Linked DNA regions of Canis lupus familiaris. The protein of the gene in region 2 purifies or fractionates together with the protein of the main gene of each other region. This does not show direct contact. Links are inferred from orthologs where the notes say so. Each region holds a gene or a part of one and is shown on either strand. Other genes may lie near its edges.

The links. The genes of interacting proteins can lie anywhere in the genome.
Region 1: the proteins of SGF29 (region 2) and TAF9 purify together in Homo sapiens (affinity purification with mass spectrometry; 3 studies listed by BioGRID and IntAct, with this or other methods). This does not show direct contact. The link is inferred for Canis lupus familiaris from reciprocal best matches to the Homo sapiens genes SGF29 and TAF9.
Region 3: the proteins of SGF29 (region 2) and ATXN7L3 purify together in Homo sapiens (affinity purification with mass spectrometry; 8 studies listed by BioGRID and IntAct, counting the BioPlex papers as one, with this or other methods). This does not show direct contact. The link is inferred for Canis lupus familiaris from reciprocal best matches to the Homo sapiens genes SGF29 and ATXN7L3.

What each region holds. Positions count from the first base shown.
Region 1 is NC_049257.1:19,523,854-19,526,930, forward strand, and holds TAF9 (transcription initiation factor TFIID subunit 9), read right to left. Parts: upstream 1,601-3,077; 5' UTR 1,473-1,600; coding exon 675-1,472; 3' UTR 536-674; downstream 1-535. UniProt on the Homo sapiens protein: The TFIID basal transcription factor complex plays a major role in the initiation of RNA polymerase II (Pol II)-dependent transcription.
Region 2 is NC_049227.1:18,372,806-18,376,554, forward strand, and holds the start of SGF29 (SAGA-associated factor 29), read right to left. Parts: upstream 2,758-3,749; 5' UTR 2,571-2,757; exon of another isoform or gene 2,506-2,570; intron 2,341-2,505; exon of another isoform or gene 2,287-2,340; intron 2,281-2,286; exon of another isoform or gene 2,146-2,280; intron 1-2,145. UniProt on the Homo sapiens protein: Chromatin reader component of some histone acetyltransferase (HAT) SAGA-type complexes like the TFTC-HAT, ATAC or STAGA complexes.
Region 3 is NC_049230.1:19,072,926-19,076,590, reverse strand, and holds the start of ATXN7L3 (ataxin-7-like protein 3), read right to left. Parts: upstream 2,836-3,665; 5' UTR 2,650-2,835; intron 2,163-2,649; exon of another isoform or gene 1,711-2,162; intron 1,287-1,710; 5' UTR 1,227-1,286; coding exon 1,176-1,226; intron 883-1,175; coding exon 750-882; intron 545-749; coding exon 373-544; intron 194-372; coding exon 96-193; intron 1-95. UniProt on the Homo sapiens protein: Component of the transcription regulatory histone acetylation (HAT) complex SAGA, a multiprotein complex that activates transcription by remodeling chromatin and mediating histone acetylation and deubiquitination.

The sequences.
Region 1 (3,077 bases), on a different chromosome or scaffold from region 2:
AAGACTCCCCAGAACTGGACCACGGTGCAGTCTGCTGTGGAATGCTTTGCTGCTTTGTTTTCCCAACTAGACTCATTAGCAGTGCCAGGTGGTAATAACTATCCAACTGATTCCTACTAGTAAAATAAAATCTGCCTAAGATCACTATGGACTCTTTCCCCCATTCTCTGCTTCATTTCTGACCTGATACGCTTTTGGAAAATAATTATGCATGGCAGGAAGTTGCCATACAACAGAGAAGGATTGTTGCATCCTGGGATTATATAGGATTTCAGATCAAATACTTTTTATTGTGAGAATAAATTGAAAAACATGGTTTTCATCAGTATAGCACAGTCAAATCTATTTCTTGCTTTTCTTCTTTCCTGTTCATTTCATCATTAAAGACTCAACAAAAGAAATTTTTATTAATTTAAGAGAATGTTTGCACTGGTGTTTTTTGTTTTTTTTTTTGATGAACAACAATTTTATTTTTCACACTTAAAGGCTAATGAATAACCATTACTAATCCTATTAAAGAAAACCCAACATTCAATAGGAAAGGATAACTATATTTACTCATTAAATACCATTTAAGTTTTCTACAACACAACTTCAAAATACCCAGCATGCACGTTTAATCTCAGTACAATGGATTTAAGACCAAGTTTACAGGTTACAGCATCAAGGCTAGATTACAAATTATCATAGTCATCATCGTCATCATCATCGTCATCATCATCATCTTCTCGTTTTCTTTTCAATGCATTTGATGATTCATTGGAAGTATTTTGTGATGACACCATGTTTGTAGTGATAAGAATGTTTTTGGACCCAATTAATGATGGATTAATCAGAACATTCTGAACTGCGGATGTGGCAGGAATTGATGCTTTTACAGTTGGGGACTGTGATGTGGGCATCTGTACTGTAAACCTCTGCCCTGTGAGGGACATGGGAGTCCCTACTTTAGTTGACACTGACATGGTTTGTGGGGTTGGTGTACCAAGAGTGGGAGTACTTGGTCGGCTAGTAACAGAACCAACACTTAACCGTGGAACTGTTATTCTTCCCGCAGAAGTTGATGCCTTTTTTTGTAAAGACTTAAGTCTATAGTTTGGAGCCGTCAAGCAATATCTATCAGGTGGCAGCCTGGGGCCTGAATATGGCTTGATTAACGGCAAAGGAGTTTGATTTCTTTGCCTTGCAATATCCAATAAAAAATCTCTTGGGGGAGGAGAGGTAAAAGACTGATCAGCACGACACTGAATGGCAAGCCGCACATCGTCTGCATCAACAGTAGCCTTCTTAGCATGGCTTGAATAAATTTTTGCATCATCTAGGATTGTGGTCACATATCGGAACGCAAACTCCAACATCTGATTTATAACTCTTGGTTCATATTCTGTAATCCCCATATCCTTCAGGATTTGTGCCATCATCTGTGCATCTTTCGGCATGCTCTTGGGAGAAGCCATCTTGCCAGACTCCATGATATCTGTTGATCAGACTTCTTGAGCTAAATCACCCACATTAATGTATTTCAATCCTGATCTCGATGCAAGTTCTTTGCCTAGTGTGGTTTTTCCAACCCCCGGGGTACCGGTGAGCAGGATGTTCGGGAGCAACATTGCACTGGTGTTTAGCATTCAGTAACATAATGTAGATTCTAGAAACAAAACTAGCCCCAGGATCTGTTCAAGTAAGCTGGAATAAAGGAGTGTATCTTTTAAAGTTGTCTTTTTTTTCACCCATTATACATTGTTACTCAACAGGTAGAAATATGAAGCAGTAAAACAGTATTTAGTAAGCCATTCTCTTATCTAGGAGGCTTTTTTAGTCAGTTAAATTTTGTTTCTGCTTCATTTTTATTAAAAAGAGTAAGGTAACAAAGGGACATAAATGAGGATATGTTTTTAAAAGTAACCGCCTGCCACCTTCCAAAGAAGATAGCCAAATTCCTAGACCTGTGCTATTCCATACAGTAGCCACTAAGCCACACTTGGCTACTGAGCACTGGAAATGTGCCTAGTTCAAATGGAGATGTGAGGGACACCTGGGTGGCTCAGAGGCTGAGCATCTGCCTTTGTCTCAGGGCATGATCCCTGGTTCCAGGATTGAATCCTGCATCTGGCTCCTTGTGGGGAGTCTGCGTCTCTGCCTCTCTGTGTCTCTCATGAATAAATACAATCTCAAAACAAAACAAAACAAAAACAAACCAGAAACAAAAACAAATGGAGATGTAAAGTGTAAAACACATGTTAGATTTCAGAAACTGAATGTGAATAAAGAAGAAAAAAAACCTTAGCAATAATTTTTAAATATATAGTTTGAAAAGATATATTTTGGATATATTGAGTTCAATAAAATATATTATTAAAATTAATTTCACTTATTACTTTTTTAAAGACTTATTTGAGAGAGAAAGAGAGAGAGCACGCGAGTGTGCAAGGGGAGAGGCAGAAGGAGAGGCAGAGAGAAACCCAAGCAGACTTGGTGCTCAGCACAGAACCCGAGGTGAGGTTCAATTTCATGTCTCTGAGATCATGACCTGAGCTGAAATCAAGAGTCAGATAGATGCTTAACGGACTACACCACCCACACTCCCCTGTTTATTACTTTTTTAAAAAATGTGTCTACTAGAAGATTTTAAATTACCTAATGAGTTGTATGATATTTTTATTGGACAACACTGTCCTAGGCTGTTATTTTGGGACATCATTACTCCTGAGAACCGACCATGAATAACAGTAAGATCTTCAATCATAGAGTTAAAACTTAATTCAAAGCTTTTTGAAAAGCAACTTGGAGATACATATTAAGAGACTTACATGTATCTTAACTCTCTTGGGCAGGAATTTATATTTCTGTGACCTATATTTCTGTGATGTAGCCCTATGATCTAGCAATTCCATTCCTAGGTATATACACTAAAGAATGAAAGCATAGGTACACGCAGAAATGTGTACACAAATGCTTATAGCAGCATTACTCACAGTAGCTCAAAGTGGAAACAACTCAATTGCCCATTAACTAAAGGAATGGATAAACAAAATGTGGTATATCCATATAATGGAATATTACTCAGCTATAAAAGG
Region 2 (3,749 bases):
ACACAGTACAAAATATTTCTGGTAACATTTGTGTGGCACACTCAGGTAAAAGGCAAAGCTGCTCACAGCTGGAAAAGAATGGCAGGGGGATCTGGCTGCCCCAGGCCCCACTCATCTGCCCTGATGCCAAGGGCAGTCAAAACTTTCAAAGCATGGTATACAAACTTCTGTTCTTGCATTGTCACACATACATTGAGAGACTGTTTCACTTACTTATCTCTCCTGCAGACCACGAGCTCTTAGAAGACTGACATGCAGTTGTATTCGTCTTTATATTCCCAGAAACTAGCCCAGGGCCTAGCACCTACTAAGTCTTCAGAATACATTACTGAACCAAACTGAATCCTGGAAATCTCTTAAAATAGTCTCTCAACAATTCTTAAGTTGGGCTATTCACTATCTTCCCTCCAACCCCAGGAAAAAAAAAATTGTCCCCTTTTTTTTTGGGGGGGGGCAGGTTAAAAAGTAAGCTCTATGCCCAATGTAGGGCCCAAACTTATGACTGCAAGATTAAGACCTGAGTTGAGATCAAAAGTCAGATGCTTAACCACCTGAGCCACCCAGGTACCCCAATTAGTTGATATTATAGATACTTCCCTGTATAAATGCACTCATGAATAGTTGTCAAATACCTACTCTATGCTAGGAATGAGAAATATACATCAGTGAATGAGACAAAGAGTCCCTGTCTTGCTTACAAAACTCACAGTCCAGAAAGGAACAGACATTAAACAAGTAGTTCCATATACTTATTTGTAGGTGAAGTAAATACCTTATAAAGGACATAGAAAACAGGATACATGGATAAATTTGAATAAACGATGACAGGTAATGTTGAAGAACGGAAAACACAAATTCTCAGGCAAAAATGACCAAGTGCCAAAGAGAATATCCACAGAACACTCAGTAGTGAAACTTCAAAGCCTTAAGGGCACATACACACTAATACACTGGAGAAGGAAAAGGGGGGGGGCAGGGCCAGGCTGCAAAAAAACACCAAGAATATATCAGTATTTGGCCTGAGTTGGCCTGAACAACTGGAAAAATGGGAAGACTGGGGAAAGTGGTGAAGGTATGTGAGGGGTAAAACTCAAAATTTCAGTTCTGGACATGTTTGAGATGCCGACTCGACACTTTGAGATGTCATTTGCAAGCTGAATATAAAAATCTGGTCTTGGAGGTAGAGCACTGGGTCGAAGATTGACATTTGAGAGCACAATAGATAGTATTTCTATTTAAGGCCTTGAAATAGGGACGCCTGGGTGGCTCAGCGGTTGACCGTCTGTCTTCGGCTCATGGCATGATCCCGGGATCCAGAACCGAGTCCTGCCTCCGGCTCCTTGCAGGAAGCCTACAAGACTCTGCCTGTCTCTACCTCTCTCTCTCTAGCACTCAAGAATAAATAAAGAAAATATTTTTAAAAAGAAAATAGTTTTGAAATGGATAGCTCCTAGGAAGTGGACACAAAGAAGAGCTTAGGATGAGGGCGTGGGCGGGGGAGTATAACCATTAAAGATAGGGACGAGGAACAAGAAATCAGCAGAGGAGAAACCAGAGAGCTGAAGCTAAAGAAGAGAATGTTTAAGAGGCCTGGGTGGCTCAGTGTCTGCCTTCGGCTCAGGTCGTGATCCCAGAGTCCTGCGATCCAGTCCCACATCAGGCTTCCCGCAGGGAGGGAGCCTGCTTCTCCCTCTGCCTAGGTCTCTGCCTCTCTCTGTGTTTCTCATGAATACATAAAATATTAAAAAAAAAAAAAAAAATTGGGCAGCCCGGGTGGCTCAGCGGTTTAGCGCCGCCTTCAGCCCAGGGCGTGATCCTGGAGTCCGGGGATCGAGTCCCACATCGGGCTCCCTGCGTGGAGCCTGCTTCTCCCTATGCCTGTGTCTCTGCCTCTCTCTCTCTCGTCTCTGTGTATTCTCATGAATAAATAAATAAAACCTTTAAAAAAAATTGAAGAGAATGTCCTACAAATCAAACGAAGAAGTGCTTCAAGAAAGGGCAGTGATGAAGCGCATCAGCCATTGCTACAGAGGTGAGAACGAACTGAACACTAGCTTTGGCGACCGAGAGGTCACTGGCGGTTTCCACCAAGTGCTATTTTAGTGGAGCGCTGGGGGCCTAGACTAGAGCGGGTTCGAAAGAGACCTGGAGATGAGGCGCCAGCTAAGGCTGAAGCCTCACGCTGCAAACGGGCGCCGAGAGATGAGGAGGCAACTGGAAATCTCCGGAGGGCGAATGAAGTTGTCTCGTTAGAAGGGGCTCAACCCCGCTGCCGTCTTCTCGCACCTGAGCTGAAGACCCCGCCTCCGCCGCCTCTGCGGCTTCTGCGCCCCGCACGGCGAACGCCCGCTTCCCCTCCACGCCGCGCCGGCCAGCGCATGCGCAGAGCCCAAAGACCGCCGCCGCAGCCCCACCCCTCCCCGAGCCCCGCCTCTCCCCGCCCAGGGCGCGTGCGCACCGCCCCCCGAGAGTTGCCCCAGCGAGGCCCGGGAATGGGGACGTACCGAGGGCGACCCCGGCCCTCCGCTCCCGCCATTCCCCGGGGGCCCCAGACTGCGACCCATCCCCACCTGCCAAGCCACGGAATAGGCACGTCGAGCTGGAAATTACGACGGCAGCCGCGGGCGCGTCCCTCGAATGTTTTTCAAAGTCTGAGTACCGTAACGCGCTTGCGTTCGAAGATTCGCGGCACGTCGAGAACTACACACGCTTTTTCCCTTTTACGAGCTAGTCGCAGCGCGAACCTTTCCGCGCATGCGCCGTCCTTCCTTTGTGACGTGTCGCGCTGCTCCTTGGGAAATGTAGTTTTTATTTTATCAGTCTATGCCCGATGCCCTAAGGGAACTTAAGAAACCAGAGTCCTTGTGTGTTTTTAGTATCCTCTCTCATTCCCCAAAGCCTATAAGATAATTTAAAAAAATTTTTAAACCTCAAGCTGCCCCAAAAGATGTAGTTTATTATTTTAGTTTTTTTTATTTTATTTTTTAGCTCTATGGTTTTTTTAGTTTTTTTTTTTAGTTGTTTTTTTTTTAATTGAAGTTCAATTTGCCAACATATAGCATAACACCCAGTGCTCATCCCGCCAAGTGCCCCCCTCAGTGCCCATCACCCAATCACCCCAACCCCCCGCCCACTTCCCCTTCCACTACCCCTTGTTCATTTCTCAGAGTTAGGTGTATGTTTAGTTTTTTAAAAATAAAGCAGATCGGATCCCTGGGAGGCGCAGCGGTTTGGCACCTGCCTTTGGCCCGGGGCGCGATCCTGGAGACCCGGGATTGAGTCCCACGTCGGGCTCCCTGCATGGAGCCTGCTTCTCCCTCTGTCTGTGTCTCTCTCTGTGTGACTGTCATGAATAAATAAATAAAATCTTAAAAAAAAAAAAAAAACAGATCTGTAGACCCAAAAATTGCACTTTGAGGGAATCTTCTCAGGACCGTATTAAGGACGTGAGTAAACATTAAACTACATTAGTTTACATTCTAGTAAATGTCTTATAATTTCTTACATAACCCCTATCAAAGTTTAAAATTACATTTTATATCGTTTATTTTTTAAAAAAGATTTTATTTATTTATTCATGACAGCAGACACACAGAGAGGCAGAGACACAGGCAGAGGGAGAAGCAGGCTCCATGCAGGGAGCCCGACATGGGACTCGATTCGGGGTCTCCAGGGTCACATCCCAGGCCAAATGCGGCGCTAAACTGCTAGGCCACTGGGACTGCCCTATATCGTTTATTTGATTCACT
Region 3 (3,665 bases), on a different chromosome or scaffold from region 2:
GTGACCCTTACATACCCAATTCTTGCTTGTCTGCCTCACCCTGATGGGCTGCATCCCCCTGTCCCCCCAGCCAGTTTCCCCAAATCCCCAAACACCTTTCTTCTCTGAGCCATAGGACCAGTCGTTGTCATTGATGTCATCATTATCCTCTTGGTCACTCTCTGACTTGTTCATATTGTTGCTATTGGCAATCCTACCAACGGAAGGGAAGAGAAAGGGTCAAGACAGCCACCTCTCTCTGCCCCCAACCACAGAGGCCAAGCACGAGCCACCCTCTGTGCCCCACCAATGCCCCTGGGGGACTACACCATGCCACAAGTTACAAGAGGTGGGACCAGCATCTCTGGTTCTAGCGGAGAGAGACGCCCTCACCGGCGGTTGGCGATGCGGCTGCTGTTCCGGCCCATTCCCAGGCACTTCTCCAGATGGGGAGCGAAGCGAGAGGCAGCAATACTACGGCTGCAATTGGGGCAGACACACTCCTTGCTCTTCCACTGGTTGAAAACCTGTCCAAAGATGTCCAACCCCGGCTGGTCCACGATCTCTGGGGACAGGAGAGGCGTGGCGATCAGGGCAGGCAGGGGACCCTCACCTCTTGTCTCCCGCCCATGGCCCCATGGCCTCTTGAAACCCCCTGCCTGGGCTCACAGGAGCCCCAGGTACTACGTCTGGTGCAGTTTCCAGAGGAGGAACTTGCAAGTATCCCCGGGACAGGGGCCGGATGGCTCTCCTTCAACCCTGAAGCTCACCAAAATCCTTCATGCTATCAGGGTCCGTGTCGTCCAGGAAGAAGTAGCCACACTTGACAGCCCGGTGTACCTCAAAGCAGAATCCCAAACAAGAATCCTCGACCAGGTCCGCGTATATCTCCTGAGCGATGGCCTGGGCCCAGGGGAGAACATCCACGGTCAGGAGTCTTGGCCCCCTGGACTGAGAGCAACTCTCACCAACCAAATCTGCCAACTCGCCCTGGCCAAAAATAATGCTTTCTTTGCCATTTTCCCCATCTTGACTTCGCATCCTTTCTTCTTCCGGAGCCTTGGGCCTTTTCAGCTGGCTATTCCCTTTAAGGAACCAGGCTGACTACCCAAATTCCTCTTTGGTGTGAACGCCAGATATAGCGACGTAGAGACATCAAGAGAAAGAACTAGAGGCACACGTGGGGGAGCCCTCACCTCTAGTTTGCTGTTATCCAGGCCAGACAAAGACATTTCCTCCATTTTCATTTGTAAACTCTTGTGGAGACGGCGCTCTGACTGCTCATAGCACAGCGGGCGGCAACACGGCTGCACACATGGGGGTGGGGGGGATGTTGGTGTGAGTCCAAGACACCTCTGGAGACTGCCACCTCCCCTCTGCACCCCACTGCCCAGAGCTTAATGCTGGCATCAGGATCTACCCTTCCCCAAGGCCTAGGCTCACTAAGTCTGGATGGTCCTTCAGGGCCTGAAACCCAAAGGCGGCCTAGTCCTTCCCAGGACTGAACTCAGGCCCTGGACTCTGCTACCAGTCCAAGTCTGAGTCCATAGGAGGCAGCAGCTCACCCCAGGTCCCCCAAACTCAAACCCCTCTTCCATACCCATGGTGCAATGCAGCAGGGGGAGGAGAAGGAACTCTAAGGCCTCAAAGCAAACCCACAGGGTGTGGCAAAGAACTGCACAGACTCCTAAATACCCCCCCCCCCCTTCCCTAGGCTCTCCTCAGAGTCACCTCTGCTTTCAGCCAGGATGTCCACTTGGGGGGGTACTGCTACCAGAAGTAGGAACAGCCCTAGAGCCCTACAACCTTCACCCCACTGTGTCTTCCCTTGAAATAAGCCTGTGACTACAGAAGGGGCACAGAGCCCACAGAAGCCTAGAGCTGAAGGAGCATTTCTAGCCATCATGAGCAGGAAGGAGGGGTAGAGCCCGGTGGGGATGGCATGCCGGGAGTGGGCACTCCCCTTACCTGTTCTTCTTTTTAGATAACCACCCTCCCTCCCTCAGGACCAGCCCGGAAGTCTCTCCAAGAGCCCCAAAGTCCAGGAATCCCCACCAAAGGATTCTGAAACAGCGCCCACAGTCCGGGGCCCCTCTTAACGGTGGGTACGAGTTTAAGGAGCTGCCGGCCTAGAGTGGGGTGGGGACTGACAAATGAGCCAGGGGCACCGGGGAGGGTAGGAGGCCGGGCCTCGGCTCTTCCCCCGTCCCTGCGGCACTGCTGCTGCATCATACCGACTGGGGGGAGGAGAGCCGAGCCGCCCGAGGCCGGCGCCGGTCCGGGACAGACCGACCCCTAGAGAGTGGGCAGAGTGGGACGCGTCCCGGCCCCTCTCCTTCCCCCCCGCCGACAGCCCCAGCCGGCCGGGGAGAGGAGTCCGGGAGGGTGTCTCTATTGTCCCGGGGGCTGGGGCCTGGCTCCCTAACAAAGGCCCCGCGCCCCCTCCCCGGCCGGCCCTGCCCCGCCCAGGGGGGACCCAGACAGGGGGAGAGCTGGGGGCCCCGGCCGGGCCGGGAAGCCGGGGGAAGCCGGGCGTTTCCGCGTCGGCCCGGGGGGAGGGGAAGGGGCGCTGACCCAGACCTGGGGGGAGGGGGCCCAAGCCCCGCCTCGGGCCCCGCCCCCCGCCCCCCGCAGGCCCCTCCCCCGTCCCCGTCTCCGTCCCGTACTCACCCCGCCCGGGGGGCCGCGCCGGGGCCCGGCGGCCTCTCAGGGCCGCGTCCTCCGGCGGCGGCGGCGGCGGCGGCTGCTCCGGAGCCCCATGTCCGTCGGTCCGTCCTCGCCTCTCCCCGGGGCCCAGGGCCCGGGGCCGGGGGGTCGGGCCGCCCCCCCGCCTCGCCGCCTCACCGGGCGGCCATGGCCCCTTCCCCTCCCTTCTCGTCCCGTCGCCGCCTCCTCCTCCTCACCTCACCCCGCCCGCGCGCAGTCCGCGCGCCGTCCGCGCGCCCCTCCCCCCGCCCCCCACTCCAGCCCGCCTCTCCCGGGCGGGGGGTGCGGCGCGAGCCCGGAGCGCGCGCGCGTGCCGCGACCGGAGGATGGATGGATGGAGCGAGCGAGAACGCGAGCGTGCGCGCGCGCGCCCCTCTCCCCCTCCCTCCGCGCGGGCGCGAGGCCAAGCGCGAGCGCGCTCCAACCTCCTCCTCTTCCTCCTCCCGCCCCTCTTCAACACCCCGCCCCCGCCCTCCCTTCCTCTTCCTTCTTTCGCTTTCGCGCGCCCAGCGACTGCTCGCGCCTGCTAGAAGGGCCCGAGCGCGTGCATCTGCCCCGCGGCCGCAGCTCGGCAGCATTTGCTCCAGGGGGCGGGGACCGGGCGGGGAGGAGGGGCGCCACGCCGCCGTCCAAAGTACCGGCGGACGGGGACGGGGGCGGGGAGATGGGCGGGGCCTTCGGCGGGCACCTCGGCCAATCGCCGTCTCGCCTCGGTCCGGCCGGCCCAATAGGATGGTGGTGGGTGGAGCGCCGTTCAAGGTGAGGTGCGCGGTGCGCTGGGGGCGGAGACGTTGTGCCGTCCCGGCCGGCTCCGGGGCGGGGGCAGCGGGTGGCGTCGAAAGAGAGCGCCGGCTCCAGCCGAGCCTGGGACGCCTTCCGGCCCAGGATCCCCCGCCCTTCCCTCGGGGCTCCCGGCTCTTCCCCCACACACACACCTCCTCCCGCCCCCCGGCGCCCCAACGCCGGCATTTACCCCGTAG